Linked DNA regions of Tamandua tetradactyla. The protein of the gene in region 1 interacts with the protein of each later gene in a biochemical or structural test. Links are inferred from orthologs where the notes say so. Each region holds a gene or a part of one and is shown in the gene's direction. Other genes may lie near its edges.

Region 1 (7,803 bases):
CAGGATCCCACGTTGCATTGAGTCGCATGTCTTTTTACTCTCCTTTGGTCTGGAAAAGTTCTCCAGGCTTTCCTTGTACTGCATGACCTTGACATTTTTGAAGAGTTATTCTGTACCTCAGTGCTGTCCAGCTGAACTTTTTTTTTAACTGTACATTTCATGACGATAGAAATGCCTCTATCTGCTCAAAATAGTATGTGAAATGTGACTAGCAGGGCTGAGGAACTGATTTTAAATTTTATTTAATTGTAATAAAAATAGCTGCATGTGACTAATGGCTACTATATTAAACAGCACAGCACTACAATGTCCCTCATTTTTGGTTTGTTTGATGTCTCCTCACAATTAGCTTCATTTTATACATTTTCAGCAGGAATACCACAGACATGCTGTTGTGCCTTCCTTTGTCTAAATTTTTTAAAAGCTACCAACAGGTGACACGAAACCCCTTAGACCACAGTAGGCTGGGTTTTTTAATATCCCTTGAGGTCCAGTAGAAGGGTTGGCAGCTGCTCTTGGAAGCCTGTAGCACACTCCAGTGCTTTTCTGGCGAGGATTAGATGTGAGGCCACTGGAGTGTGCTACAGGGTGGGGGTTTAGTTTCCAACCAAAGTTTACCCCGTCTTGGCTAACCAACCAAGGCAGAGATGGCTTTATTTACAGTTGGATGGGTTCAGGCTTGATATTAAGAACATTTCCCAGCTGCCAAAGGTGGTGAGATATCCAGAGTTACTGAGGAAAGTAATAAAATCTCATCTGAAAAGCGATCGGGCCTCTTCCTGTGATCGAGTTTGGAAGCACTGGCTTTGGAGCTGGGACTGAACTTAGTCATTTGCAGGTTATCTCTGCCAAATCTCTTAACCCCTCTTTTTTTTTTTTTCTTTAAAAAATTGTGGTACAGAGGATGTAACAAACTTAAGTGTACAGCTTATGCATTTTTTACATATGCACAAACCCAGGTAGCTACCACCCGTATCAAGATATAAAACATTTTCATCCCCTTAGAAGGCACCTGTTTCAGTTTGCTAAAGGTGCTAGAATGCAGTAAACCAGAACTGTGTTGGCTTTTACAACAAGGATTTGTTAATTTACAAATTTACAGTACTAAGTCCATGAACATGTCCCAATTAAGGCATCAACAGGATAATACCTTCTCTGAGGAAAGGCTGCTGGGATCAGGGGTTCCTCTGTCAGATAGCATAGTACGAGGCCGGCATCTGCTGGTCCTTCACTCCCGGGTTTCATTGCTTTCAGCTCTGGTTCCAGTGGCTTCCTCTGTGGGTCCTTTTGGCTCCCCTGGGGCTTTTCTCTAAGCTCTCTCAGCTTTTTCTGTCCTTTATCCTCTCATAAAGGAGTCCAGTAAAAGGATTAAGATCTACCTTGAGAGAGGGCGGACGCGGCGCGCTCGCGCAGCCAAGAGGGAGAGAGGATGGAGCTCACGCGCGGCCGTGCAGGACTCGCCCAAAGCCGCTAGCGGGGGGGGGGGGGGGGGGGGGGGGGGGGGGGGGGGGGGGGGGGGGGGGGGGGGGGGGGCTGCGCTCACCTTGGTCCATGGACGCCAGTGCGGCCGCAGCCTAAACGAGCCAGTTCAAGGAAGAAATCTCTAAGTGTTTCAAATCGCATACTGACCAACTTGTGTTAATATTTGCTGGAAAAATTTTAAAAGATCAAGATACTTTGAGTCAGCATGGAATTCATGATGGACTTACTGTTCACCTTGTCATCAAATCACAAAACAGGCCTCAGGTTCATTCAGCTCAGCAAACAAACACCACTGGAAGCAATGTTACCACATCATCTGCTCCTAATAGTAGCTCCACATCTGGTTCTGCCCCTAGTAACCCTTTCGGTTTAGGTGGCCTTGGAAGGCTTGCAGGTCTGAGTAGCTTGGGTTTGAATACATCTAACTTCTCTGAACTACAAAGCCAGATGCAGTGGCAGCGTATGTCCAACCCTGAAATGATGGTTCAGATCATGGAAAATCCCTTTGTCCAGAGCATACTGTCAAATCCTGACCTGATGAGGCAGTTAATTATGGCCAATCCACAAATGCAGCAGTTGATACAGAGAAATCCAGAAATTAGTCTTATGCTAAATAATACAGATATAATGTGACAAGTATGTGGAAAGTTCTTTCAGTTTATTTGGCTGAAAAATCATACACAATTTCTTAATGTTTAATTTTCTATGATTAAAGAGCTTACCCTATACAGATGGCAATGCTAAATAGAGAAATCCTATTATTTCCTCAGGAAAATTCAACAAAAGACTTATTAGAACTATTTGAATTTACACATTTCTGGTATATTTTACCATCTTTGCAGACAGTTTATTTTGCAGATTTAAGGAATAAAGGGTGAATCTAAAAAAAAGATCTACCTTGAATGAACTGGGTCACAACTCAATTAAAATAAGCTAGCCAGAAGGTCTCACCCACAATAGGTCTGCACCCACAGGAATGGATTAAAAGAACATTGCCTTTTCTGGGTTACAGCTTCAAACAAGCACAGCACCTTTGTGCTCCCAACAGAACAATAGCACTCCAGAGATAACTAGCAATGATTTCTATTTATGTAGATTTTCGTTTTGCCTGATTTTGAACTTTAGGAGAGTGGTAACAGGTGGCACATATTCATCTGAGTTTGCCTTCAACAGTCGTGCATCATGTGGTGGGGTTATCCGTGTTTGAGTATCAACAGTTTTTCATTGTGGTCTATATGATTCCATTATGTGAATATACTACCATTTGTCAGTCTGCTCTCTTGTTGGTGTACACGTGGATTGTTTCCTGAGTTTGGCTGTTATGAATAAAAACTGCTGTGAACATTATCTGGTGTGCATGTTTCTTGGTGGACATATACCCAGGAGTGGATTGGTGAATCACAGGGTTGACATACATTTTAACTTTAGTAAAAACTACCAAACTTTTTCCCAAATATTCTAATTTCTCTATAAAAGAGGAAGAATAAACCTACTCTACCTGGTTGTTGTGCGAGTATTTCATGGGCCCTACACTCTTAAGACCTGCCCCTGAAATAGTGGAGGCTCAATCATTGCTGCCGTCCACCCAGCAGTGGACTGCGAAGAGCATGGGGTGGGGTGGGGGTGGGGTGCCCCACAGCCTTTGGCGGAGGGGGCCTCCTGTGTGGCTCACCACCTGCTTGGCCTCTGCCCTACACCCACCCACTGGGCCACCCCTGCCTCCCGCCCAGCCTGCACACCGCCTGACTGCGCACACAGGCCTTCGTGATCCCTGAGTGTCACCTGAACATTTATTTATTTTTAAAGTTTTTATCTTTTTCATTTTTAAACAGTTTTACTTACACATCATACAATCCAGCCTGTGTATAGACATGCCTTCACCTCCGTAATCTATCTAAAGACATTTCCTTTTCTTCCACAAATAATCCATACCTCTCCCCCATACCCTCCCCTTGACATTTAGTTTTGGCATAAGGCCTATGTTACATTCACTGGAAGCATATTACAATGTCACTGTTGACATAGACCCTAGCTTGCAGTGATTGTACTTTTTCCCATATACCTTCTATTTTCAACAGCCTGCAATATTGGTGTTCATTTGTTTTCCCTCATCCAAAAACTTTTTTTTATTTGTATAGTTAATCACCATCATTGTCCACTCTAGGCATTCCTTAATTATACCTTCTCAGTCTTTACGTTCTATCTTTTCTTCCGGTGTCATATGTGCCCCCAGCCCTCCATCATTCTCATATTCAGCTTCTTTCAGTTTACTAACATTATCGTACTACAATCAGGTACTATTGTGCTATTCATTTCTGAATTTTTACAATCAGTCCTGTTGCACAAACTGTATTCCTTCAGCACCAAATGTCCCTTCTCTACCCTATTTCAATCTCCTGATAGCCTATGTTATTAACTTCAATTCTCCAAGTTTGCCCATTCATGTTAGTTTGTATTTGTGAGACCATATAGTATTTGTTTTTTGTTTCTGGCTAATTTCCCTCAGCATAATGTCCTCAAGGTTCATCTGCGTTATTACATGCTTCATAAATTTATTGTCTCACAGCTGCATACTATTTCATCGTATGTATATACCACAGCTTGGTTTACCACTCACGGTTGATGGACATTTGTACTGTTTCCATATCTTGGCAATTGTAAATAATGCTGGTATAAACATCAGTGTGCAAATGTCCATTTGAGTTCTTGCCCTCAGGTCCTCTGAATATATACCTAGTAATGGCATTACTGGATCATATGGCAATTCTATACTTAGCTTCCTGAGGAACCACCAGACTGCTTTCCAGGGCTGCCGTTTATTGAATGCCGCCTGTGTGTCAAAACTTGGGACTCATGAACCAAGGAGATTAAAGCCCCTCACCCCTCAGAGCACGGTGGAAAGAGGGAGAGCTTCACCCAGGGCATATGAGCTAGGAACTCCAAACCACCCAGAGACTCCGAGGCCCGCCGCCTGCCTCGCTTCTGGCGAGACCGCAGACTTCCCCTGGAAGTTGTTCGCGATGTACAAGGGAAGAAAATAACTTACTGCCCCAGCAGGAACTGGAACTGCACCCAGCCCGGACACCCCACGCAACCCGCCTCTCACCCCAGGCCAAGTCCCAGCCCCCATCCCACAGGCCCTCGCGTGGCCCCGTCCGCCTCCGGGCCAATAGGCACGCGGCTCCGCGCCCCTCGGCCGGGCTCCCGGCCGCCGCAGGCCAAGTCCCCGCCCCCGTCCCACAGGCCCCCACGCCGGACGCGCGGCCCCGCCCCCGCTGCCGCCAATGGGCGCGCGGCCCCGCCCCTGGCTCCGCGCCCGTCAGCCCCGCCCCGAGACTTCACGGCTGGAGGCTGCAGCTGCAGGTCGCCGGGTCCGGCCTCCAGAGGTAAGGTCGCCGACCAGGGCGCCCGGTCTCTTGGCCCAGAGACACCGAGGCCTTTCGTGGAGGTGGGCCGCGGCGGCAGGAGCCGAGGGGGAGTGGTAGTCCGCCGGACGCGCGGGCTTCGGGGCAAGGCGGCTCCGGGGAGAAAGGGTCCGGCGGCATATGGGGCTTGGGATCATGGGGGGATCATGGGGGTCCACGTGCTGCACTCACCCGCGGGCGGCGGCGCGGGGCGGCGGCTCGGGCTAGAGGGGAGCTTGGTCCGGAAGACGACGCGGCACCCAGCCTTAACTCCTCCTACTGTTCCCAGGCCCAGGGTGACCTCGTGGCGAGGCCGAGCGCGAGCCCGAGCGCGCGAGCCCGTGAAGGCGGCGGCCGCGCCTCGGGGTCTAGGGTTGACAGTTTCCCCTGTGTCCGGGAGTTCCTGGCAGTGATAACTGCATGGAAAAACACCCTCCCCTCCCTCCTCCCTCCCCGGACCTGGGTCTGGCCCAGGGACCCGGGCCAAGGATCTGAGGCCTCCTTCCTCCCGGGTGGGTGATTATTTTTTTCTTGGAATGCTCCCTGGATCGGTCAGGTTGAAAACCCTCCGCTTCTCACCCTGAACGCAAGGCCACTTCCTTTCTCTTGAATCGGGAAGGAGGTTCCAGAAAAACCCTGAATAAGACAAAAACACCGTTCTTTGTTTGGATGCCGCGAAAGCCCCGTAAACATCTGGAAGGACAGTCTGTGAACTGCAAACAGTGGCTGCCTTAGATGTCTTCAACCTCTTCCAAAAACTTTCAAGAGAAGAGAATGAGTGGAGTATCCTCCCAGGCGCACACCTACCCAATGACTTCCCTGCCCCACCAAAGTGGCCTCAGACCCTTCCTGGGCTTGAATACAGGGGGCCATGTGGATCTCACTGTGCCAACAAGGCATATGGTGTACTGCTGTGAAACATCAAGATCCGAGTTCAAATTCTCCTCCACTGGCTCGCTGTGGGACCTGACATCACTTCCTCTCTCTTGGAACCACAGGGAGAGTTAATGGAAGAACCTTAGGAGGTGCCTTTCTATAGTAGTCCCTCAATAAAGATACATAAACATTTCTTTTTGGGTTACATTGCTCTCCCCCACTTGCCCTTAAAGATGAGGTTGAGATGCAGCAGAAGAGCCTCATCTGACTCCTTCCTGGTACCTGGTGCCATAGGGAGGGAAGGAGAGAGGGGTCCATTACCCACCACAGAGTTTGCTTGTCTCCTGAAGGCCCTACTCAGTACCCCACCTCCCTGAGCTTCCTTGACCTGTCACTAGCACTCACCCTATCAGAACGTATGTAGTACACGGTGATTATCAAAGCAGGTCTTCTAATGTGAGGCTGTGGACATATAGACAGGACCACTACCCCATTTCTCATGTGGCAAGGGGCTGACTGCCTCAGCAGCTTTTACGTCCTCTGTGCAGCAACACTGTCTCCAGGAGGTCTTACCCAAGCCTGACACCCATGTTTTTACTCCAAACTGGCCCTCCCCTCTACCCCTTTCCCTTCCTGATATCCAATAACATCTCATGCTACACTTGCTCAAAACTGAGCTGCGAAGTTCCCTCGGTGCTGCTGCCTCTCCCCTGGCTTCTCTACCTTGGTCAATTACCCCACCCAGCACCCAAGAGTCATCCTCGAATCTTTTCTTTCCCTTACCTCCAACATCCAAAGACATCAGGAAGCTACCTACCCCTTGCCACCGTGACTACCATCCTGGCCATACTCATTGTGCTGGTTTGAAAGGACTTGTATACCCTAGAAAAGCCATGCTTTAATCCTAATCCAGTCTTGTGGGAACACTCAGAGAGGCGAGCCACTGTGTAGGCGCTTGGAAAGGGTGGGACTGCCACTTTCTAAAGCCCTAAAGATAAATGACTGTCATACCTTGAAACCTAATGAACTTTGCCCTACAGGTTTTCGAAACTGCTTGGATCCGGTGACCTCTGTGTTCCTTCCAATTTCTCCCTGTGGAAATGGGACTGTGTATCCTATGACTGTCCTTCCTTTGTATGTTGGCAGCAAATAACTTGTTCTGAGTTTTACAGGTCCAGAGCCAGAGGAGAGTTTTACCTTAGAACAGACCATACCTGCAGCTGACTTTGATGAGACTTTGTACTAGTTTTAACTTTGTATTGCATTTATATTGCTACTGAAATGCTTTAAGGCTTTCTGATATTGTTATGAGATGAATGTATTTTGTATATGGGAAGAACATGTCTTTTTTAGGGTCCAGAGGGTGAAATGTGCTCGTTTGAAAGGATTTGTGTGCCCTAGAAAAGCCATGATTTAATCCAAAACCAATTTTGTGGGAGCACCCTTTTCCTTTCATCCCTATTCAATAATTTAAGTTGTAAACTTGATTAGTTATCTCCAAGGAGATGTGACTCACCTCTTGTGGGTATTAACCTTTCATTAGAGGGAGATGTGGCCTCACCCATTCCAGGTGGGTTTTGATTAGTTTACTGGAATCCTTTAAAAAAGGAAGCATTTTGGAAAAAGCTTGATAATGACAGGAGAGCAACAGAGCAGGGTCATGAGAATGATGAGTGCCAGAGCCCATGCAACCAGAGACCTTTGGAGATGAAGAAGATATATGCCCCTGGGAGAGCTTCATGAAACAAGAAGCCTGGAGAGAAAGCTAGCAGACATTGCTGTGTTCTCCATGTGCTTTTCCAGTTGAGAGAAACCCTGAAACATCATGGTCCTCTTGAACCAAGGTGTCTTTCCCTGGATGCCTTACATCTGGCATTTCTATAGACTTACTTTAATTTGTCATTTCTGTGGCCTTAGAATTGTAAACTAGCAACTTATTAAATTCCCCTTTTTAAAGACTTCCATTTTGGTGTATTGCATTCTGGGAGCTAGCAAACTAGAACACCTATCGTCCATCTACTGCTGTGGCCTCCTGACTTGA
Region 2 (7,079 bases), on another chromosome or scaffold:
TGAACCACTGATCGTAGACTTTGGATGATTATAGGGTATGTGAATGTATCTCAATAAAATTGCATTAAAAACAAACACACAGCCATGCATGCTTCCGTAGTGGAGGAGGCCAGGAGCCTGAAATCAAGGTGTTGGCAGGTCTAAGCCTCTTCCCAGCATCTGATGGTCATCAGTGACCTCTGGTGGCCCCTGGCTTGTGGCTGCCTCTCTTGTCTCTGCTTCCATCTTCACATGGGTGACTTCCCTGTCCCTTTGCTCCCAATAAGGACATGAGTCATATGGGGATAGGGCCCATTTTCATTCAGTGTGACCTCATCTGGACTTAATGACACCTGTAGAGACATTTTCAAATAAGAACATGTTCACAGGTATCAGGAATCAGAATTTCAACATTATCTTTTTAGGGGTTGTTCTAGTTTGCTAGCTGCCAGAATGCGATATACCAGAAACAGAATGGCTTTTAAAAAGGAGAATTTAATAAATTGCTAGTTTGCAGTTCTAAGGTCAAGAAAATGTCCAATTAAAACAAGTCTATAGAAATGTCCAATCAAAGACATCCAGAGAAGGATACCTTGGTTCAAGAAGGCCGATGAAGTTCAGGGTTTCTTTCTCAAGTGAGAAGGCACATGGCGAACACAGTCAGGGTTCCTCTCTCATCTGGAAGGGCACATGGCAAACACAGGGTCGTCTGCTAGCTTTCTCTCCTGGCTTCCTGTTTCATGAAGCTCCCTGGGAGGCATGTTCCTTCTTCATCTCCAAAGGTCGCTGGTGATGAGCTCTCGTGGCTATGTTGTTCTGCTCTGCTTTCTCTGAATCTCCCATTCTCCAAAATGTTCCCTCTTTTACAGGACTCCAGAAACTAATCAAGACCAACCCGAATGGGTGGAGACATGTCTTCATCTAATCCAGCTTAACAATTACTCTTGATTAAATCACACCATCCAGGGAGATGATCTGATTGCAGTTTCAAACATACAGTATTGAATAGGGATTATTCTACCTTTATGAAATGGGATTTTGATTAAAACATGGCTTTTCTAGGGGGCATACATCCTTTCAAACCAGCACAGGGGGAGACCATTCGATGCATGACACCCTTCAAAATGTCAATCATTGTCATGACTACTTCAAAATCAAGGTCATCAGACACACACTGGGTCTTTCTGATTAATGCACTCATGAAGCACACCTATTATTACAACATCAATTTTTACGGTAATAGTGATAACTTTTTCTGTACCATTGGTTTCCTTTGTAACCCTGTGCATTTCATTTCCTGCCTTTAGAAGTGTTACTCTGTGAAGGGATCAATAGCCCTAAAAAGGTGTGAAACCCCAAAAAGGTTCAGAAGGAGCAACAGGAAGAGAGGAGAAAAACGGGGAAAGGAAGGTACCCTGAAAACTCCCTGAAGAAAGTTGTTGATCTTCTTCCAGGACTAGCTGGAAAAACCCCAACACTATCTCTACTGGTTTAGCTGGGATAAACATATGGTACCAACAGGGAACAAAATGCAATGAGCTGGAATCATCTTTACAGATATCAAGAATGCTGTGTGTCCAGGTGACAACTCTTGTAGCTGCTGAGAAGAAATTTTTCTCCAAGGAAGGATTTGGTTCTTTCCTCAATTAATAAACCACAGTGATACTTGAGCCTAACTTCTTGGGGAAGGAGACACTTTAGTTCTCAAGTGAAAGAATAAACACTTAAAAAAATTTTTAATATAAAAAGTTTAGAAACATATATATATATTTTTTGGCAAAAATAGAAAAGGCGGCCCTCCCAGCCCCCATCCCCCCAGTCCTGAGTGCAGCGGGGACTCCTGGCACAGCACCTGAGAAGGGCGGGGACGTGAGGTCGAGTTCTGTAGAAGCTTCTGAGGATGATCTCAGTCCAGGGGTAAGTTCAAGTCCACAGGGGAGATGGCCAGGAGACCTTCCTGGAGGGGGAAAGAGCCCAGTGATCAGGGAAGGTGACCTCAGCACAGCGGTATCCACCCTGGCCCGGTGAGGTCAGAGACAGGGGATAGCAACGAACAAGTGGGGAAGGGGACATAGACCCGTGGGGGGGGGTGGGGGGGGACGGAGACCCAGAGGTCTGGGGTTTTAATGATGAAGTTTCCCTCAGTTGTAAGATGAGGGTAACAGAACCCCATAAAGTTGTCATGCAGATTAACTGGATGGCTCAGCTACTATCCTAAGTACCTGCCCCCCAACCGCCAATGCTCACCCCAGCTTACCCATTATCCTTATTCAGAAAAATTTTTTTATAAATAAATGCATTTTCGCTGAGTCCCAGACACTTATGTCCACTGTCTCCTAAACATCTCGCTTAGGTGGTCTAAAGGGCGCCCGAAGGCTAGGTGGACACCTCCAACCTCCCACCAGGGCTCCCCACCTCCTTGACCCCCCCTCTCCGAGTCCATTCCCCACGCGGCCACCAGAGGGCGCCGGTTCCCACAGTCAGCAACCCACGTCCCTGAGCCCTCCCGAGGCCCGCTCCTTGCCGAGGCCCACTAGGCTCTGCAGGATCTGGACACTCCTCACCCGCCCCCCGCCCAAATCCCCCCGCCCCCTGCCTCGCTCATCCTGCTCCAGCCACACTCGCCCGCTGCTGCCCGTTTGCGCGATGATGGCTCCATTTCATGAGCCCCGCACGGCCTCCTCTCACTGCTCCCACTGTGATTTACGGGGCGGGTCCGCGAAGGAAACCGTGAGCACTGGGCAGGCGGCAGACGGGCTCGGGGACAAGACTGTTGCTAAAGGCTGCCAAGGTCGCAAGGCCAGAACAATGGGCCCTAATCCAGCCCTTAGAGGGCGCTGGCAGCGGGCAGACAAGGGAGAAAATCTTGATCCTAAGTAGCTGCTGCAAACATGCAAAACAAGTGAGCTCTACACGAGCGTCTGTTAGAAGGTGTGAATGCGGTGGGATGAAGGAAAGCAGGAGAAGGAAGGGAGAGGGTGGAAGGGCAGGGAGATGGCTGAGAATCCCAGTGGAGGTGAGGGGGGCCTCCCTGAGTAAATTAGCAAAGAGGGGAGGCAGAGGAATAGCCGGGAAGGGCACTCGGACAGCCACAGGGGGACAGCCAGGCACCAAATGTCCCCGCGGAGCCAGCACCCTCCAAGTATCCCATCCTAATCCAACCACTCCCCCCACTTTACAGACGTGTAGAGGCGCCAGGAGGGACAGTGGTTAGTTTCGGGGCTCACGGGGGTCATCGGCATGGTAGAACCATTTAAGACAGGAAGAGCCTCTGCACCGATCCCCTGTGCCTGGTGCACAAGAGGAACGGAGGGCTTCAATGGGGGGGGGCACTTGCCAGTTGGAAGGGGAGCCTGAGAAGCCGCCCCCCCCCACACACACAGCTCAGTCGAGTGCTGCGAGGCCCGGAAGGCGCTGCGACGGCTCACCCAGCCCCCGTGGGCCTGGATCCAGGGCGCAAAGCTGTGCACGTGCTCCACGCTGAGTCCCGCCAGGGTGCCCCCCAGGTGGGCCACGCGCCGGCTCAGCTCCAGGGCCAGGGCCAGGCGCGCCAGGGGCTCCGGGGAGGGCGGAGGGGGTCCGGGGCACGGCTGCGAGGCATGTGCGGGGCCCGGGCCGCTCCCGCGGCTGGAAAAGAGCTCCACGAGGCGCGCGAAAGAGGCGGCGGAGAGGCGGGCCAGTTTGCGGCGCAGGGCGGGGTCCGAGGCCAGCTGTGGGGTGGGGACAGAAGGGGCAGAGCCCACCTCAGCCACGCCCCCACGCGGGGGCCTGAGGAGACCTAGAAATTGACTCTAAGCCCCGCCCCCACCTATAACAGCAACTCATTATAAGGCACGTTCTAGGGGCTCAGAGAAATTAGTTCCAGGGGCGGGGTCTAGAAACAGACGCTAAGCCATGCCTTAGGTTTCGACAGCCAATCAGGACCAACCTCTACAGCAGCGGAGTTCTAGACTGTTTATCTCTCAGCCACGCCCCCTTAGTCCTGCCGAGCCAATCAGAGCCCCGGAACCCTAACTAAGGCCTATAAGAACCTGGGCCTCTGCCATTCTATTGTCGTAAAGCCATGTATTCTGCCCAAGCTCTGGAGTTATCAGATTCGAGAGCTCGGCCGCAAGGCATGCCCCCTCCAGCAGTCCGTTCCACTCTAAGCCATGACCTCGCTGAAGTCAATCCGAGCCTCAGATTTTAAACAGTCTCGCTTCCCCCCACCTAAGGATACCTCCTCTCACATATCCAATTTAGCCCAATTTCCTGCCTAGATCTTGCCTCTGACGGCCACGCCCTTCACATACAGGTCACGCCCCTCTAAGCCAATGACAGCCAGTAGCCTAAAGTACTCCCCTGGCCATACTTCCTGTCACTCAACTCTTTCTCTAAGGTTTGTCCCACCCACTCCCCTTCTGACCAGCCAATGAAAATGCAGATCTAGCTTCTCGTCCCAATGCCTTGCCAACCGCCAATTCCCATCCTCCTTGAGAAACGGAAGAGATGGACCATCACCTTCTCGTTGATGACTTCAGCCTCCTCCTCCAGCAAGGCCACCAGCCTCCGCAGCAGGGCTTCTTTCTCCGTGAGTGGGGGACCCTGTAACTCTGGAGGCAAAAGAATTCTGCTGGGGGCGAACTGTGGCTACCCTGCTACCTCCCGACCTCCCGACCTCCCGCGCGGTGCCTCTGCACCTCACCTGGGCTAGGTGGGGATCTAAGTTGCTCTTGGACCAGCTGTTCCAACCGCTGGGCCACCAGGGCATAGAAGTCTGGAGTAGCCGGGCCTGGGGTGAAAGGAATCAGTGACTTCTACATTCTTTCCTTCTCTCAACCATGGGGCAATGATTTCCATTTTATAATGGGGGGGGGGGGACACCAAAGTACAGTGAACAAGCTTGAAAAGACCCCCACACCCTGGTTCTTTCTACTTCATGCCCCCAATCTGGACTTAGAATGTGAGGGCTAAACGGAACCTTGGAGATGTTCCCATCCAAGGTAGAAAAACTAATAGTGTTCTTTCTGCTCTTTCTGCCCTGGGTCTGGCCCACTTCGTGCATCACCCAGTGATCTCAGTGCTTATCTTCTCATTACTAGTCTTCCCAGACTCACATGAGAGGAAACCTGTTCCATTCTTGCTTAAGTCTAAACTAGTCTCCTAGTTTTGCCTTTGGAGAGTGGAGGTACAAGGAAGGGAAAGGATTTTTGGTTGAGCTTCCAACCCCAAAACCTGAGTGGCATGACTGAAAATCATTTCTCCTTCCCTACTGGGGGGCACTTGTGACTAGAAAAGTCTGGGGAGAGGGAGGCATGGATGGAAGGAGAGAGATGACAAAGAGAGAGGAACCAACAGGCCTCTCACAGCCAGCCCAAATAGAGATTTCCTGGGGCAGGGCAGGATGGTGAGGCTTACTGAGGTCTTGAACTAGTTCCTGATCTCATCTGTGCTTCAGGAATCAAGGCTCTTGGCCCTGCTGGTTTCACAGGTGATCTGGGGAAATCTCTTACCAGGCCCTGAACTGTAGCAGGGGCGGAGGGGCAGGGAGCAAGGCCGAGGGGAGTCAGGGGGAACGTCTCCTCGCCCTAGGGGGCAGGGAAGGCATCGGCGAAGGCGGCTCAGGAAGTCGGCTGGCTGCTCCTGGGTGGGACTCCTGGAGAGGAGAACCTCAGAGAGTGACCCCAGAGGCCTCCTGCAAGCAGTCCCTTCTTCCTCCCACTGAGGGCCTCTCCCTGTAGCCCCAGGGACGGGGGAAAAGAACCAGGTATGAAGGGAAGGAAGGAGACAGAGTGAGACCAGAAGCAAGAGTCAGAGAGGGACCCACCCCAAAGATGGACCCTTGAGGGGAGGAGGACAACCCTTCTTACCTGGGTGCAGCTGTAACGGGGGACCCAGACACCTCGCCCTGCTTAAGGAAGGCGGCTAGGACCCTCAGTGTGTCATCCCGGAGCCCCAACTCCTCTGAGCCTGCCATAGGGGCACCTGTGAGATGGGAAGCCAGGCACTGGAACGCAGGGTCCACATGGAAGAGGAGGCTTGGCACCTGAAGGAGGAAGGGTCAGAGGCGCGTCCTCCTGGGTCCCCATGGGAGGAGTGGGGACTGCGGTTCCTGGATCCTGGGAGAGGAAGGGGCTGGGGGCTGAACTTCTGGGTCTAAGGGAGGAGGAGACTGGGGAGACTGGACTCCTGAATTTGAGAGGGAGAAGGGGGCTGAGGAGGCACTGAGACAAGACTCCTGGATCCTGGAAGAGGAGGGTACCGGGGGCCTGGACTCCTGAGTCTCAGGGAGGAGGGGGCTGGGGGCTCCGACCCCTGGATTCCAAGCCAAGCTACCGAAGCCCAGCCAGGACGGAGAATTACCAATCCCTGAGGGCTTCGTGCCAAATTCCCCTCGGTCTGCGCTCATTTGCTGCGTAGCCTGCTGGGAGGTGTAGTTCCGTATCTGGCTGAGGCTGGAGTTTGGGGGCCTGGGACGTTTGGGTGTCGTTGAGGCGGGGATGCGCTGCCCGCTTCGGGGTCGCGACCCCCTCCTCTTCCCTGCTCGCCCTGGTGCTCGCCAGGGCTCGGCTCACCTGATCCCCGACCCCGCCTCCGCCGCCTCCCGCGCTGCAACTTCGGCAAACTTTCGAAGTTACCGTTCCCACGCCTGCGCACTGGGCGGGGTGGGCGGCACCAAGACAGGGCAGGGCCAGAGCGCCGGCTGCCCTCTTATTTGCATATGCATTCCCAGCATGCCTTGCCTGTGACCGGATTGCCTAAAAAGATCCGGAGGGTGTGCATATCATTATACCCAAATTATATAAAGGGTTTTATCCCAAGACGTCGGTAGCAAAGAAAGTCCCACGGCTCTGACGTCCGGCTGGAGGGAAGTCAGGTGCGCCGCTTGGAGTTGGAGAGCTATCCCGGAGCCCAGAAGACAGAGGCGAGTCCCGAGGTGAGTAACGCGGAAGAGCTGGGGAGGGTGTTGGGGAGGTCGCAGACTGAGGAGGCGCTAGAGGAAGGGGCGATGGGGAGAGTGTGCACTCTGGGGACAAGAAAGGGCCACGCTGGGAAACTGCGGGAGAAGCTGCAGGAGGCAGTGGCCTAGGTCATTAGGTGCAGGAGGAAGGGACAGGGAC
Region 3 (7,879 bases), on another chromosome or scaffold:
TACAGCCAGATGGACCTGTATGGAATACTCTGATTGGTAAAGGACCTGGTTGAAAGGAATGGAGCTACCTTGGGATTGGAACGTGTATGAGTAACTGGTTTGCTGTCATTACCTGGTTGGACACACCCACCTCAACAAAGATAGGGCTACACAATTAGCCACTTCCTTGTAAGGAGGGGAATTTATAAGCTTCCAATTCCAAACTGCTGAGACATGGAGAAGAGTCAAAAGGAGCCATCAAATGCAGAGGGACATAAGGTGAGGCTGAGAGTGAGTGTCGGCCTGATGTGGGAGCCCAGCAGAGAAAAGACGTCAGTGACAATCTTGCTGTAATAGCGGGGTGGGCAGAGGTTGAACTACCATGCAGCAGCTCCCTTGCATCAACCTTAACTGAGGCCTGAAGAGGGGTTTGCCAACGTGTTCACATGGTCATAATATTTTGCGCAATTTGCAAAATTAATATATATTTTTAAAATATTTTTATTGAGAAATCTTCACTCACATATATTCCATACATGGTGTACAATCAATGCCTCACAATATCATCACATAATTGTTTATTCATCGCGATCTTGTTTCTCAGAACATTTACATCACTCCAGAAAAAGAAATAAAAAGAAAAACTCATACATACCATACACCTTACCCCTCCTCTCATTGACCATTAGTATTTCAATCTACTCCATTTCTTTTTTCTTTTTTTTTTTTTTTCACATGGGCAGGCACCAGGAATCAAACCCGGGTCTCTGGCAAGGCAGATAAGAGTTCTGCCACTGAGCCACTGTCATACCACCCTCTACTCAATTTATTTTAACCTTTGTTACCCCTATTATTTGTTTATTTTTTATCCATATTTTTTTACTCATCCTTTTACACTCCTGGATAAAAGGAATATCAGACACAAGGTTTTCACAATCACATAGTCATATTGTAAACATTATATCTTTACACAAATCAAAACAAATATATTTTAGACACAGCTAATATTACTGTCTTTTTCTACTTCAATCTGTCTGTCACCCTTCTCGTTGGGTCAAGTGGCATTTTGGGCACCTGGCTAAAGAGAAACGGAATTGGACTTACATTATTCAGGTACATTACACAGTGCACAGTCACTTCCTTCTACAGTTAGTTTATTGCTAGCTGTCGCCGAAGAGAATGGCTTCCAGGAAAACTTCCACCACCCACTGAGACAAGACACTGGCATAAGAGACTAAAGTACGGGTCCAGAGCACATGTGATAAGAACGTGTCTTGTCAATAACGTAAGTACACTGAATGAAGCTGAGTGTGAGAAGGATACAGGGAGAAGGGCTGGGGACACATATGAAATCAGAAGGAAAGACAGACAATTAAGACTGAGATGATATAAACTAGGAATGTTTAGAGTGCACAATGATAGTGACTAAAGGGTACAAATTAAAAAATGCTTTTGCATGAGGAAGAACAGAGGAATGTCAATATTGCAGAGTGTTGAAAATAGATGGTCATTCATATTTTAAAACTTCAACTTCTGTGTGAAACTAAAGCAAGAAATGTTTATTTGGTGCCAAATTTAAATTTTGACCAGTGCATTTCCTAATTTAACTTATATGGATAGTTTAATTGAACACCATGGAACCTTGAATAGGGCATGAGATTTTGTTGGTTTGCCCAGGTTAGTGTGATGCCCCGATAAATCCCAGAGTGATTTCCACAGTGAATAAAGACATATTTGCAAAGTCCCTTTGGAGGACTGGGGGAAAAGGCGGAAAATTCAACTTCCCCATTTGGAGACTTCCTGATATTCTCGCAAGCAGTGGGGACAACCAAATCAATAGGCTGAGCCGTCAATCTTGAGGTTTGCCCCATGAAACTTATCCCTACGTAGGATAGGCTATTATCCTGGAGGTTATTCTTACGCATTAAATAGATATCACCTTGTTAGTCAAGACGTAATGGAGAGGCTGGAGGGAAGTGCCTGAAAATGTAGAGCTGTGTTCCAGTAGCCATGTTTCTTGAAGATGATTGAATAATGATATAGCTTTCACAATGTGACTGTGTGATTGCGAAAACCTTGTGTCTGATGCTCCTTTTATCTACCTTATCAACAGATGAGTAAAACATATGGAACAAAGATGAATAATGGGGGAACAAATGTTAAAATAAATTTAGAGTCAAGTGCTGGTGATTGTTGATGGCAAGGGTGGGGGTATGATATGTATGAATTTTTTTCTGTTTTCTTTATTTCTTTTTCTGAATAGATGCTAATTTTCCAAGAAATGATCATGATGATGAATATGCAACTATTGTGAATTACTGATTATATATGTAGAATGGAATGATCAAAAGTTACGAATGTTTGTGTTTGGCGTTTTTTGGTATTTTAAAAAAAATTTAAAAATAAAAAAAAAACAAAAAACAAAGGATAGGCTAAGCCTACTTAAATTCATGCCTAAGAGTTACCCCAGAGAATCTCTTTTGTTGCTCAAATGCGGCCTCTCTCTAAGCCAACATGGCAAGCAAACTCACTGCCCTCCCCCTCTCTACATGGGACGTGACTCCCAGGGGTGTTAACCTCCCTGGCAATGTGGGACAGAAATCCTAGGATGAGCTGGGACTCAGTGTCAAGGGATCAAGAAAACTTCTCAACCAAAAGGGGGAAGAGAGAAATGAGACAAAATAAATTGTCAGTGGCTGAGAGATTTCAAACAGTTGAGAGTTTATCCTGTACATTATTCTTACTAATTATTCAGATATCTCATTTTAGTGTATGGTATATTAGAGTGGCTAGCAGGACATACCTGAAACTGTAGAACTGTGTTCTAGTAGCCATGTTTCTTAAAGATGATTGTATAATGATACAGCTTTTGCAAAGTGACTGTGTGATTGTGTAAACCTTATGTCTGATGCCCCTTTTATCTATGGTGTGGATAGATGAGTAAAAAATATGGATGAGAAATAAACAAATAATAGGGGGAACAAAGGTTAAAATAAATTGAATAGATTGAAATACTAGCGGTCAATGAGAGGGAGTGGTAAGTAGTATGGCATGTATGAGTTTTTTCTTTTTTCTTTCTTTTGCTAGAGAGATGCAAATGTTCAAAAAACTGATCATCGTGAAGAATACACAACTATGTGATGATACTATGAGCCATTGATTGTAATCATGTCAAGAATGTCTGTATGTCAAGAATGTTTGTTTGTTGTTTACAATTAAAAATATTTTTTAAAAAGTACATGTCTTGTGGCATGACACACCATGAGTCTGTGAATCATGGAACCAGTAAATCCATCCAACCCTCAGATGCAGAAAATTTTAAGTGTACAATTGTTCTCATCAATGGTTAGTCAAAATGAAAGTTTTCTTCAGGAATAAATTTAACATTGCAACCTATTTAATTATATAAACATCATACAATAAAGTTGTTTTTGCATATTTACGTCATACAATAAAGTTGTTTTTGCATATTTCTATATGAAATCACTAGAAATCATCCTGACATCAAAAAGTGAATCGAAAATGTTCTTTTCATGAATTGTGACAAATGTACCACACTAATGCAAGGCATTAATACTAGGGTGGTATGTGGGACCTCTGTATTTTATTATACAAGGACTTAACAAGAAACAGCTTAAAGTCCTTCAGCAATTTAAAGACAATTTAAGGCTAGTCACAACCCGAGGAATCTTGAAATGTTCTGAAATCTTAGAGCTCACATAAGAAACTCTTGACAGAGGTTTCCCCCCAAATTGATGTTATTATGAATACTGAGTTGTGAAACTGAAATTATTTTAAATAATAAAAAATAAATTTTGATTAGCCACGTTGGAGGAAAAACCAAATTATTTATTCTCACCAGAGAAAACACATTACAAATGAAGAGGCAGTCAAAAAATATAATTCTAAGTATGTTGGAAAAATATAGAAATGGTTGACAGTTAATTAAAATATTTTTCTGGATTTTTTTATGTTTGTGTTATTCCTCAGCTTTTAAAAATGTGTAATTTGTTGTCATTATTTTTCTCATTCTGAATAAATATTTACTTTGGCTCTTAAATTTATGTTTCTAATTTTGTATCCTTTTTTTCTTGAAGAGGTCCCCAAAACCTATAAGCTTCATGCACCACAGACCTGGAACCTTTTATAAATTTTAAATATAAGTAATGACTAGGTTCTTAGATATTCTGATAATCAACTGATGAAGAAAAATGAACCATATAAGCACACTGAACTATTTCAAAATTTCTCATCCATGTTGCACGAATCAACGCCCCCACCCTGACTTTTCAGGCAATGGGAGCGCAGTGCAGACAGGTCCACAGATGGGGCTCAGTTTCTATCAGAAAGCCCTAAGTGAGAGTTGACAGGGGGAACAAGTTGCCCGGTAGGGTGACTGGCAAGACTCAGAGGGTGGAGTGACAGGTGAGAAGCCGAGTTCCTGCCCCAGCCAGCCAAGCCCAACGACCTGTCTAGCCTCTGCTGAAAGTCCAAACCCCTCCTAGAGATCGGCTTCAAACGGTTTCTTAACAAGGCGCCGAGGCTGGGCTGCCGTGGGCGCAGGCTGTGTTTTTCTCTGCAGCGGCGGCGAGGTTTGAACACCGTGGTCTGCGCAAAGCCTGCACAGACAGGCATCCGGGCCCTAGGGTGCTTCCAGCCGGACCTCCCCAGCTTTTTTTTTTTTTTTTTTTTTTTTTTGGCATTCGTGATCAAATATGTGCTTTGAGACAAAAATACATCCCTACCGAAAGTGGAGCAATATAAGCTAGGATTCACCCAAAAAGGTTGCTTTTTAAATATGGCTTTTAAAAACTGCCTCTCTTTGGGGCGGGCGCGCATGCCCGGCGCCTCCTTGAGCGCGCTCTTCCCGTCGCTCTTGCTTCAACCTCCCAACGTTCCCCAACCGCTAGAACTGTCCCATTCCCCGCCCAGCCGCTGCGGGGGAGATAGCACGCCCTGCCTCTCGGAGCACTGACCTGGTCGCCCTAGCTGGGCCTGCAAGCTGAGCCGGACCGCCCTCCTCCGCCACCAGCCTGTCTCTGCGCCGCCTCCTCCTGGCGTTTCCTGGCCCTGCGAGCGTCAAGTCGGGGGCGCCTGTGCCTTGCCGCTCACCCGCGTCTTTCTCCTGCTCCATTCTACAGATGAGGAAGCCGAGGCCCTATCTTGAAAGGAGGACCCCCAAAGGTCCCTGACAGTAGTCACCAAAAGCAAGTACTGTAAGTGACCCTGAAAAGATTGATACCTGAATTCCTACAACAGAGCAGCCTGAGAAAACCCGCCCCGAAACGTTTCCCCTGAGGATCTTCGGTCTTTGAAGCCACCCCATACCAATCCATTTAGGAAAAGCCCTGGGAACAGTTACCCAAAACCAATGGAATGAAAAAGCCTTCTTTAAGAGAGGGCTCCATGGAGACTTTAGCTGACCTACAGGTTTTTAATGCATCATTCAGCACCTCTGAATATTTTCTGTTTGGCTCCTCTTTCTGCCTTTAGAGCTGGCTGCAGCTCCAATCTCCTTGTCACATCCTGGTCTGCAAACTGAGACCTATGAGGGGCCTTTATGCTAGAGAGCAGCTCCTTAGGCTGGTGTTGACACTGAAGCTAGAATTCTCCAAGCTGCAGCTTTTGCCTGCACTTAAGAGGCTCTGGCGTGAATGCACACACATGTCGGCTTTTTTCTGTTTATACCTGGAAAGGAGGACTGTTCTGATTCCGGCTCCTGTGGTATATTAGGTGTTTAAGAGGTGAGATTCTATTCCAGCCCTAATTTGGGAGGAAAGGGGCCAATGTCTGTGTGTGAGAACAGTCCATGGAGACTTTACTACTAAAGAAAAAAAGTGTGTGTGTTTTTTTTTCTGAAAGCTGAGGTCCAGAGAAGGACAAACCCCTGAAAACTGGAGGCCTGGAACAGAAGGGTTTCCGCTTCCATTAAAGGGCTGAGCAACTCAGACTGGCCCTCCAAGTGAATGCACCTTTAAAAACTGGATAAAATATTTTTAAAATGTCTTTCTCAAAACTCCAATGGCCTAGTGAGGAATTGTAGTAAAAGTAGGGGACCTATAGAGGCAAGCCTGAAACCTGAGATTGCTTCTTTTCCAGGTGCGTTTGCTGACCCAAAAGAGGAAGCTGAGCAAGCTGCATTTTTGGCAGCCTAAGGGAACTAGAAGTAGGATCCCAGGCCCAATATCTCAAACTTTGAGCTTGTTTAAAGTGACTCTGGACTGCCTGTGCCAAAAACAAAGGAAAATCCTTTGTGGGGGGAAGTTATCCTGGGCCTCAAGTTTTTCCTGTAAGTACTCATGCAGATATATCTCAGACACGAAGATAGTAGGGCACCAGACAGACAAGACATCAGGAGAAAAGCAGAAACCACAGATATCAGAATCACACCCAGAAGGACGGCCAAGCTGTGACTTACCAGTCACAGACTGAACGACTATATGTATATACTATGTCCAAGGGGATACAAGCCAAGCTTGAAAATTTTGCAGAGAAATTTTGATAAGTGGCGTGGCAGATTGGAAAACAAAAACGAAAGAAAATTCTAGACTGAAAAAGGGTGCCGGGTGCTGGAGTTGAAATGCCATAGAGATTCAAGTATACCTTGTTGGTCTGCTGTGAACCTGGGAAGAAATAAAGGTGAGAGACTATGTGACCACAAAGAGAAATGGAGGGGTGAACTTCCAGCTTTCCAGTTCTGCTTGTTACCATGACAAAATGCTGTAGCCAAAATAAATACATAATTTAATTTTAAATAAATCATTTTTAAAGGGTTATATGTTCACTTGGTTCAAAAATTAAGGTATAAAATGTTACTTATTCAACCCATCTGCTGCCACGCCTATATCCCTCCCCACAGGTAAAAAACACTTTTATAAGTTTCCTGTGTATCCTTTCAACATTCATGCAGATAAGTATTTTTGTATTTCACCTTGTTATTAAGCAATATTTTGCATGCTTAGTACACCGTTCTGTGCCTTGCATTGTTCACTTAACAATATAGCCTAAAGGTTTTTGTCCCATCAGCATACAGCCTCTCTAAAATGGCAACAGAAATTGAGTCCCAATTTTATGCTGGCTGCTGTGGTAAGTGCTGAGGACATCAAGATGGAAAAACATGGTCATAGGTAAGGACCTTCATTCCCACAGTCCTTACGGGAAAGTTTTTCTAGAATTTGCCTTCAGAATGGACCCCATTCATAGGCTGCCTCTGGGTGTGCATCCCACTGCTTCCGCATCCATCGGTGGTGAGGACAGATCAGCCTTCCACCCTGCTGACTTAGCAGAAGCTCTGATTTCAGTTGAGAGCTGACCTTGCAACAGGACCAGGCTTTGGCTAGAGAGAATTTGGAACCCAGGAAGGAAAGGAATGATCAGGGCTGCGTTCACCAAGGAGGTTTTAAGGTGCAGGGAGAGCCCTTGTAAGGAGGTGGAAATTCAGATCTGGGGTGAAATGAAAATGGGCTCTGCAGCAACCTCAGGGTCGACCCACACTGAAGTGTCAAGATCATAGAAGGGGAAGAGACCCCACCACAAACCTAACATTCAGAGGGCCGCTCTCCTGTACTCTCCATCTCCTCGGGGCCAGGCTCACCCAATTTTGTGCTGGCTTGTCTGTGTCTCCTGAAACAGGATTTCAAAGCTGCCCACTATCCTAGTTGCCCTCTTCTCAGGCAGTCCAGTCTGTGGGTTTCTTTATAAAAACATGGCTCCCAGAGTGAGGAATTTACAACCACATAACAGCTAAGAGCTCTGTGCCGGGTTCTGGGCACAATACTTCCCGATAAAAAAAAGTACTGCCTGATAGGGGTGTGTTGAGACTCTCTGCTGCAACCGTATTTGTGTTTCTTGCCAATTTTTAAAATGCCATTTATTGCACAAATAGCATAACTACTGAGGT
Region 4 (6,376 bases), about 39 Mb from region 1:
GATACCTAGCAATGGTATTGCTGGGTCGTATGGCAATTCTATATTCAGCTTTTTGAGGAACCACCAAACTGCCTTCCACAGCGGTTGCACCATTTGACATTTCCACCAACAGTGGATAAGTGTGCCTCTTTCTCCGCATCCTCTCCAGCACTTGTCATTTTCTGTTTTGTTGATAATGGCCATTCTGGTGGGTGTGAGATGATATCTCATTGTGGTTTTGATTTGCATTTCTCTAATGGCCAGGGACATTGAGCATCTCTTCATGTGCTTTTTGGCCATTTGTATTTCCTCTTCTGGTAGGTGTCTGTTCAAGTCTTTTTCCCATTTTGTAATTGGGTTGGCTGTCTTTTTGTTGTTGAGTTGAACAATCTCTTTATAAATTTTGGATACTAGAACTTTATCTGATACGTCATTTCCAAATATTGTCTCCCATTGTGTAGGCTGTCTTTCTACTTTCTTGATGAAGTTCTTTGATGCACAAAAGTGTTTAATTTTGAGGAGCTCCCATTTATTTGTTTCTTTTTTCAGTGCGCTTGCTTTAGGTTTAAGGTCCATAAAACTGCCTCCAATTGTAAGATTCATAAGATATCTCCCTACATTTTCCTCTAACTGTTTTATGGTCTTAGACCTAATGTTTAGATCTTTGATCCATTTTGAGTTAACTTTTGTATAGGGTGTGAGAAATGGGTCCTCTTTCATTCTTTTGCATATGGATATCCAGTTCTCTAGGCACCATTTATTGAAGAGACTGTTCTGTCCCAGGTGAGTTGGCTTGACTGCCTTATCAAAGATCAAATGAAATGTCCATAGATGAGAGGGTCTATATCTGAGCACTCTATTCGATTCCATTGGTCGATATATCTATCTTTATGCCAATACCATGCTGTTTTGACCACTGTGGCTTCATAATATGCCTTAAAGTCAGGCAGCGTGAGACCTCCAGCTTCATTTTTTTTCCTCAGGATACTTTTAGCAATTTGGGGCATCCTGCCCTTCCAGATAAATTTGCTTATTGGTTTTTCTATTTCTGAAAAATAAGTTGTTGGGATTTTGATTGGTATTGCATTGAATCTGTAAATCAATTTAGGTAGGATTGACATCTTAACTATATTTAGTCTTCCTATCCATGAACATGGTATGCCCTTCCATCTATTTAGGTCTTCTGTGATTTCTTTTAACAGTTTTTTTTGTAGTTTTCTTTGTATAGGTCTCTTGTCTCTTTAGTTAAATTTATTCCTAGGTATTTTATCTTTTAGTTGCAATTGTAAATGGAATTCGTTTCTTGATTTCCCCCTCAGCTTGTTCATTGCTAGTGTATAGAAACACTACAGATTTTTGAATGTTGATCTTGCAACCTGCTACTTTGCTGTACTCATTTATTAGCTCTAGTAGTTTTGCTGTGGATTTTTCAGGGCTTTTGATGTATAGTATCATATCATCTGCAAACAGTGATAGTTTTACTTCTTCCTTTCCAATTTTGATGCCTTGTATTTCTTTTTCTTGTCTAATTGAAAAGCCACAAAATTTTTATGTATATATAAATACGTATAATTTCCTACTCACGAGTCTTGAAGCCCTCTACCTTTCTAGAGATATGATTTCCTTAAAAAGCAAATAAAATAGTGGGAGTCTCTTTCCATTTATTTTGGATAACCCATACGCACATACATATGCAGATCCACATCCACATACATATATATGAACTCATACTTTATTTAAATTAAATTTTTCATTGGTATGAAATTTCCATTCAGCTTCTACTATGTGCTGGACATTGTAGTGTCCTTAATTCCAAGAAGTTCAGATCTCATTTAGTTTTGACAAACTATATTTTTCTAGGAAATTGCCCATTTAATCTAAGGTTTAAATTATTGGCATAAAGTTGTTTATGGTATTTTTGTAATTTCTGCTGACTTGGGCCTCTTTGCACACTGTTTTATTGGTCTTTTAAAAGACCCAGATTTGATGCATTGATCCATACTAGTATATATTTTTCATTCATTAATTTCTACTCTTTAGTATGATATCCCTTCCACTTTGAGTTTATATTGAGTTTATACTGTTGCTCCTTTTAAAATGTCCTTAAAAGTGCTCATTTTCTAAATTCCTTAGGCTTATTGCTTACCTCCTACGTGCTGCTTTAGCCCCCCCCCAAGTTTTTATATGTAGCCTCATTTTTTGTTGGTTCTAAATATTTTAAATTTTTATATGATTTCATTTTTAAAGGGTTACAAGCATATTTAAATTTCCAACATTTGGGGCTTTCTTGGCTCTTCTCTGTGGTCATAAAATATGGTCTGTATGAAATTTGCTGTCTTTTTTTTTTTTTTACATTGGTGCCTAGAGGTTGGGTTATTTTTTGTAGATGTTCCATGTATGTTTTTTTCCTCCATGTATGTTTGAAAGTAACTTGTTGGCTTCAGGATTCTACGGAGGTCCACCGAGCAGGATTATTGTGTTAAAATCCTGTTTTGGTTGCTTTGTTTATCAGTTATTGAGAGAGGTCTGTTGAATACCTTCCAGTATGAGGAAGGATTTTACCAATTTCTCCTTGTTGTTCTGTCACTTTTGCTTCATATATATTTTAACCAGGAATATATAAGTTCAGAATTCTCTTCTTAGAGAACTGTTCTGCTCATTGTTTTGTGGTGACCCTCTTTTATCCCTAATACTGCTTTTTTGCCTTAAAGTCTATTTTGTCTGATTTTGCTATGACTACATCTTCTGGTTAGTTTTTCTCTGTACATCTTTTTAGTTGTGGTGTCTTTAAGGGCCTTCTTGAAACAGCACAGAATAGAATTTTATTTGTCTTGGCCAAATTGATCTTTTTTTTAAAAAAAAAAAAAAAAAGGTGAATTTAAGACATTTCTACCTGTGGTTTTGGGCTTTTAATTTACCATCCCTTTTTACTTTTTTTCATTTGTTTTCTTTGTCTATTATAATTTTAGGTACCCTTTACTACCCTTTTTCTCTTTTCTGCATTGTCAATAATACATTCCCCTTCTATTCTTTAGTCACTATTATTAATTGTTTAAAATACATACGTGACTTCACAAAGCCAGGCAAGTGTAACTCTAATTATACTCTGTCTTACATGCTGCTGTGTCTCATACAGCTTGTTTTGGTACCCCCAAGCCAATTATTGCCATTACTGTTCAATATTATGTGTTTTAGATCTACCTACACATTCACCAGTTTATTTGCTCACCATTTTTCCCCCCCCAACTAATTTCTTCCTCTTGAATTACATGGTCTTGTAACTGAAGTACATCCTTTACAGTTTATTTTAGCAATAGTGTTTTCTGTAAACGCTCTCAACATTATTTTGTCCCTGACCTTTTAATCATGAATTAACTACTGGCTGATAGTATTTTTGCACTCAGCAGTTTGAAGATACTATTACATTTTCTTCTGGCTTCTATAAATGCTGCTGAGAAGTGTGTCAGTCTAGTTTTATTTTTCAGGTAATCTAGCCTTTTTAATAGTTTTTAAGAGTTCATCTTTAGAGTTCTGCAGGTTTACTGCAAAGTGCTTAGCTACTGATTTTATTTTTATTTATCCTGCTTTGGATTTTCTGTGATGATCCTGAATTTCGGGAGCTCTACCGGCACTTCTCACATTGTCTTGTCTCCTTATTCTGATTGGATCTGTGAGTCTTTATCACTCTATCACTCATGTCACTTCTTATTTTCTACCTGTTTCTTCATGTAATTGCTTCTGATGTATTTCCAGTTTGGCGACTTTCTCTTCTGCTCTAACCTTTCTTACCCCTTCCACTGACTATTTTTCAATTCTAGAATGTCCTTTAGAGTCTTTTTGGTGTCTTGTACTTTCCGTATGCTTTAATGTCCCTCCCCCCCTCTGCTTTCCTCTAACCATTAAGACCACGAAGGTGAGGACTTGGGTTCCTTGATGTCATCCCTAGCATCCAGCAGTTCCCTAACAGGCGAGACCCTAGTACACGTTGGTCGAATGACTCGGTGAACCCGCGCGCTCTCTCAACCTTCCAGAACGTCACAGCCCAAGGTGGGTCAAGTACCCACCACCATCTCCCCTTCTTTCGGTCTCCGAAAAGGGCCTTGGGTAAATGCCCGCGCACGCCATGACGTCGTGCCTGTGACGCACCATGGGAGCGCGCCCTCGCCCCCACCCCCACGCCGCGTCTCTGTGCCGGGAATCCAGGCTCTCTGCGCCGTGACGCCACGAGACGGAACGGGCGGGTTTTGCGTCGGCCCAATGGGAGCAGCTCGCCGGCCTCCCCTTTAAGGAATGTTGTGACCTGACGTCACCGAGCGAGTTACCTCCCTAAGCCTCCGCCGCTGGGTTCAGCGCGAGCCCGAGAGCCCTTCAGCGTGAGGCGCGGCGCCCCTAAGCCGCACTCACATCCCCGCACCGCGCGCCCAGAGCCTTGGCCTGCGCGCCCCGCCAGGCCCGCGCGATGCCCTCCGACCGGCCTTTCAAGCAGCGGCGGAGCTTCGGTGAGGTCGGGCTGGTGATTTGTAAGCGTGGGATGGGGGGCGCAGGGGTAGGGGACGCGGACTGCCCTGGCCTGCCGCTGGTGACGTCAGCCCTGTGACATCAGGTTCCAGCTGGCCCCACGGGCAGGGTCCGGCTTGGGCAGGGGGTCTCCCTGCTTCCCCACCCCATCTGGTGCCAAGGGCTGCAGGGCTCAATAGCCCCGGGGAGTGGGGGCTTTGGCTGGTGAGGTGGGGCCGCCCCTCAAGGGCGGAGCCGCCGGCAGCACCTCTGCCCCGCCTCAAGTCCTGCTCTTCTTCTGCAGCGGACCGCTGTAAGGAGGTGCAGCAGATACGCGATCAGCACCCTAGCAAGATCCCAGTGAGTACCCCTGCCCCCTTCCTACCCCGTCCCTGGCCCGCCTTTGGCCCTCAGGCTCACATGTTCCCACTCTCCTGCCCACCCTACTCGCAGGTGATCATAGAACGCTACAAGGGTGAGAAGCAGCTGCCCGTCCTGGACAAGACAAAGTTCCTGGTCCCCGACCATGTCAACATGAGCGAGCTAGTCAAGATCATCCGGTGCGCGGGCAACTGCCCGGGAGGGGAACCTGGGTCTGGCTGGGGTTAAACAGAAGCCCAAATTCCCTCTCGAAGAGGCAAAAGTGGGACCCCTGTTCTGGGAGGCTGGGGAAGGTCAAGGTCTAGGGGTCAGTGCTGCCTCATGAGAGAACCTCTTAGAAGAGGCTGCGAGCGATTCTGGGGAAGGGGCCAGGGACTACCTGCATGCCCCTCACATTCACCTTCCTGCCTCAGGCGCCGCCTGCAGCTGAACCCTACGCAGGCCTTCTTCCTACTGGTAAACCAGCACAGCATGGTGAGCGTGTCCACGCCCATCGCAGACATCTATGAGCAGGAGAAAGATGAGGATGGCTTTCTCTACATGGTCTACGCCTCCCAAGAAACCTTCGGCTTCTGAGCCAGCAGCAGGGGGTGGGGGGGGCTGGCCTGGGAGTGGGAACCAGTCAGGGTCTGCCACTCCTGAACTAAGCTGCCTCTGGTGGGCTGGGCAGGGATGTGGACCCCAGTTGCGGGGGGGGGGGGGGGGGGGGGGGGCAGTCACCTAACTCTGCCCCTGCGTGGATCCTGCACCAGTCCCTTTAGGGTTCCCTCTTCAGTGCTGGCTCCAGCACCCCTGCTGTGTGGTTTGTCTATTTTTTTGTTTCTTTTTGTTTTTTAGGCCCCTGCCTGTCTGCCCATTTGCCCTTCAGCTACCCAAGGTGCTGCCCCCTGCCTGGATCTGCCCACCCCTGCAGGACTGGCCCCTGGTTCTCCCGACCTTGGCATGGTATATGGATCTGTGGTCACTGTCCCTCTGCAGAATAAAGATTGCTCAGGCCTGCCTGGCCCTCTGCCTCCGGCTGCTTGCTTAGGGGGTAGGGAAGGTTGATGGGAATGTCCTGTACCATGCTCAGCCTGCCAGGACTCACACTTGTATTCTGTGGCCTTAGGGTTTATTATGGACACTCATAAATCAGTATAGTATACCAGGGCAATAACTGTGGCCAGCCCACCTCTTCCAGTAGGGACTGTGGTCCCAGGACAGACATCATCTTAACAAAAAGAAAAAAAAAGCATTTATTGAGTAGCCACAACCTACCAGGCCTTTCCTACCTACTTCTTCCCCCTTTCCTGCCTGGGTGGGGGCACAATGGTGGGTGAAGCCACAAAGTAGGGGTCCAAGTGGAATTCTCCTGGTTCTTCCGCACAGGCCTGGTTGCCAGACATGATCCCCCTCCGATACCAGGAACCTGTGACCCTGGATTCAAATCCCACCTGCCTGAGGGCTTGGTCTTGCTCCTGCCCTTCTACTCCCTGAAGTCCATACAGCCCTGTGCCCAGCCAGGCCTACTTAAGCACAA

Evidence for each region.
Region 2: the proteins of MAVS (region 1) and IRF3 form a complex in vitro, tested with the Homo sapiens proteins (2 studies listed by BioGRID). The link is inferred for Tamandua tetradactyla from reciprocal best matches to the Homo sapiens genes MAVS and IRF3.
Region 3: of the proteins of MAVS (region 1) and TRIM31, one has a biochemical effect on the other in vitro, tested with the Homo sapiens proteins (2 studies listed by BioGRID). The link is inferred for Tamandua tetradactyla from reciprocal best matches to the Homo sapiens genes MAVS and TRIM31.
Region 4: the proteins of MAVS (region 1) and MAP1LC3A form a complex in vitro, tested with the Homo sapiens proteins (2 studies listed by BioGRID and IntAct, with this or other methods). The link is inferred for Tamandua tetradactyla from reciprocal best matches to the Homo sapiens genes MAVS and MAP1LC3A.

The regions. Positions count from the first base shown.
Region 1 is NC_135327.1:56,981,090-56,988,892, reverse strand, and holds the start of MAVS (mitochondrial antiviral-signaling protein), read left to right. Parts: upstream 1-4,787; 5' UTR 4,788-4,868; intron 4,869-7,803.
Region 2 is NC_135342.1:11,485,436-11,492,514, forward strand, and holds the start of IRF3 (interferon regulatory factor 3), read left to right. Parts: upstream 1-4,063; 5' UTR 4,064-4,479; coding exon of another isoform or gene 4,480-4,571; exon of another isoform or gene 4,572-4,588; intron 4,589-4,663; coding exon of another isoform or gene 4,664-4,750; intron 4,751-5,471; coding exon of another isoform or gene 5,472-5,614; intron 5,615-5,828; coding exon of another isoform or gene 5,829-5,943; exon of another isoform or gene 5,944-6,004; intron 6,005-6,321; coding exon of another isoform or gene 6,322-6,367; exon of another isoform or gene 6,368-6,638; intron 6,639-6,675; exon of another isoform or gene 6,676-6,780; 5' UTR 6,781-6,895; intron 6,896-7,079. Other genes in the region: BCL2L12 (bcl-2-like protein 12), read right to left, coding at 1,886-1,936, 3,408-3,689, 4,480-4,571, 4,664-4,750, 5,472-5,614, 5,829-5,943, 6,322-6,367.
Region 3 is NC_135331.1:84,619,410-84,627,288, reverse strand, and holds the start of TRIM31 (E3 ubiquitin-protein ligase TRIM31), read left to right. Parts: upstream 1-4,879; 5' UTR 4,880-6,618; intron 6,619-7,879.
Region 4 is NC_135327.1:18,193,073-18,199,448, reverse strand, and holds MAP1LC3A (microtubule-associated protein 1 light chain 3 alpha), read left to right. Parts: upstream 1-4,118; 5' UTR 4,119-4,438; coding exon 4,439-4,478; intron 4,479-4,780; coding exon 4,781-4,836; intron 4,837-4,929; coding exon 4,930-5,036; intron 5,037-5,270; coding exon 5,271-5,433; 3' UTR 5,434-5,447; intron 5,448-5,694; 3' UTR 5,695-5,862; downstream 5,863-6,376. UniProt on the Homo sapiens protein: Ubiquitin-like modifier involved in formation of autophagosomal vacuoles (autophagosomes). While LC3s are involved in elongation of the phagophore membrane, the GABARAP/GATE-16 subfamily is essential for a later stage in autophagosome maturation.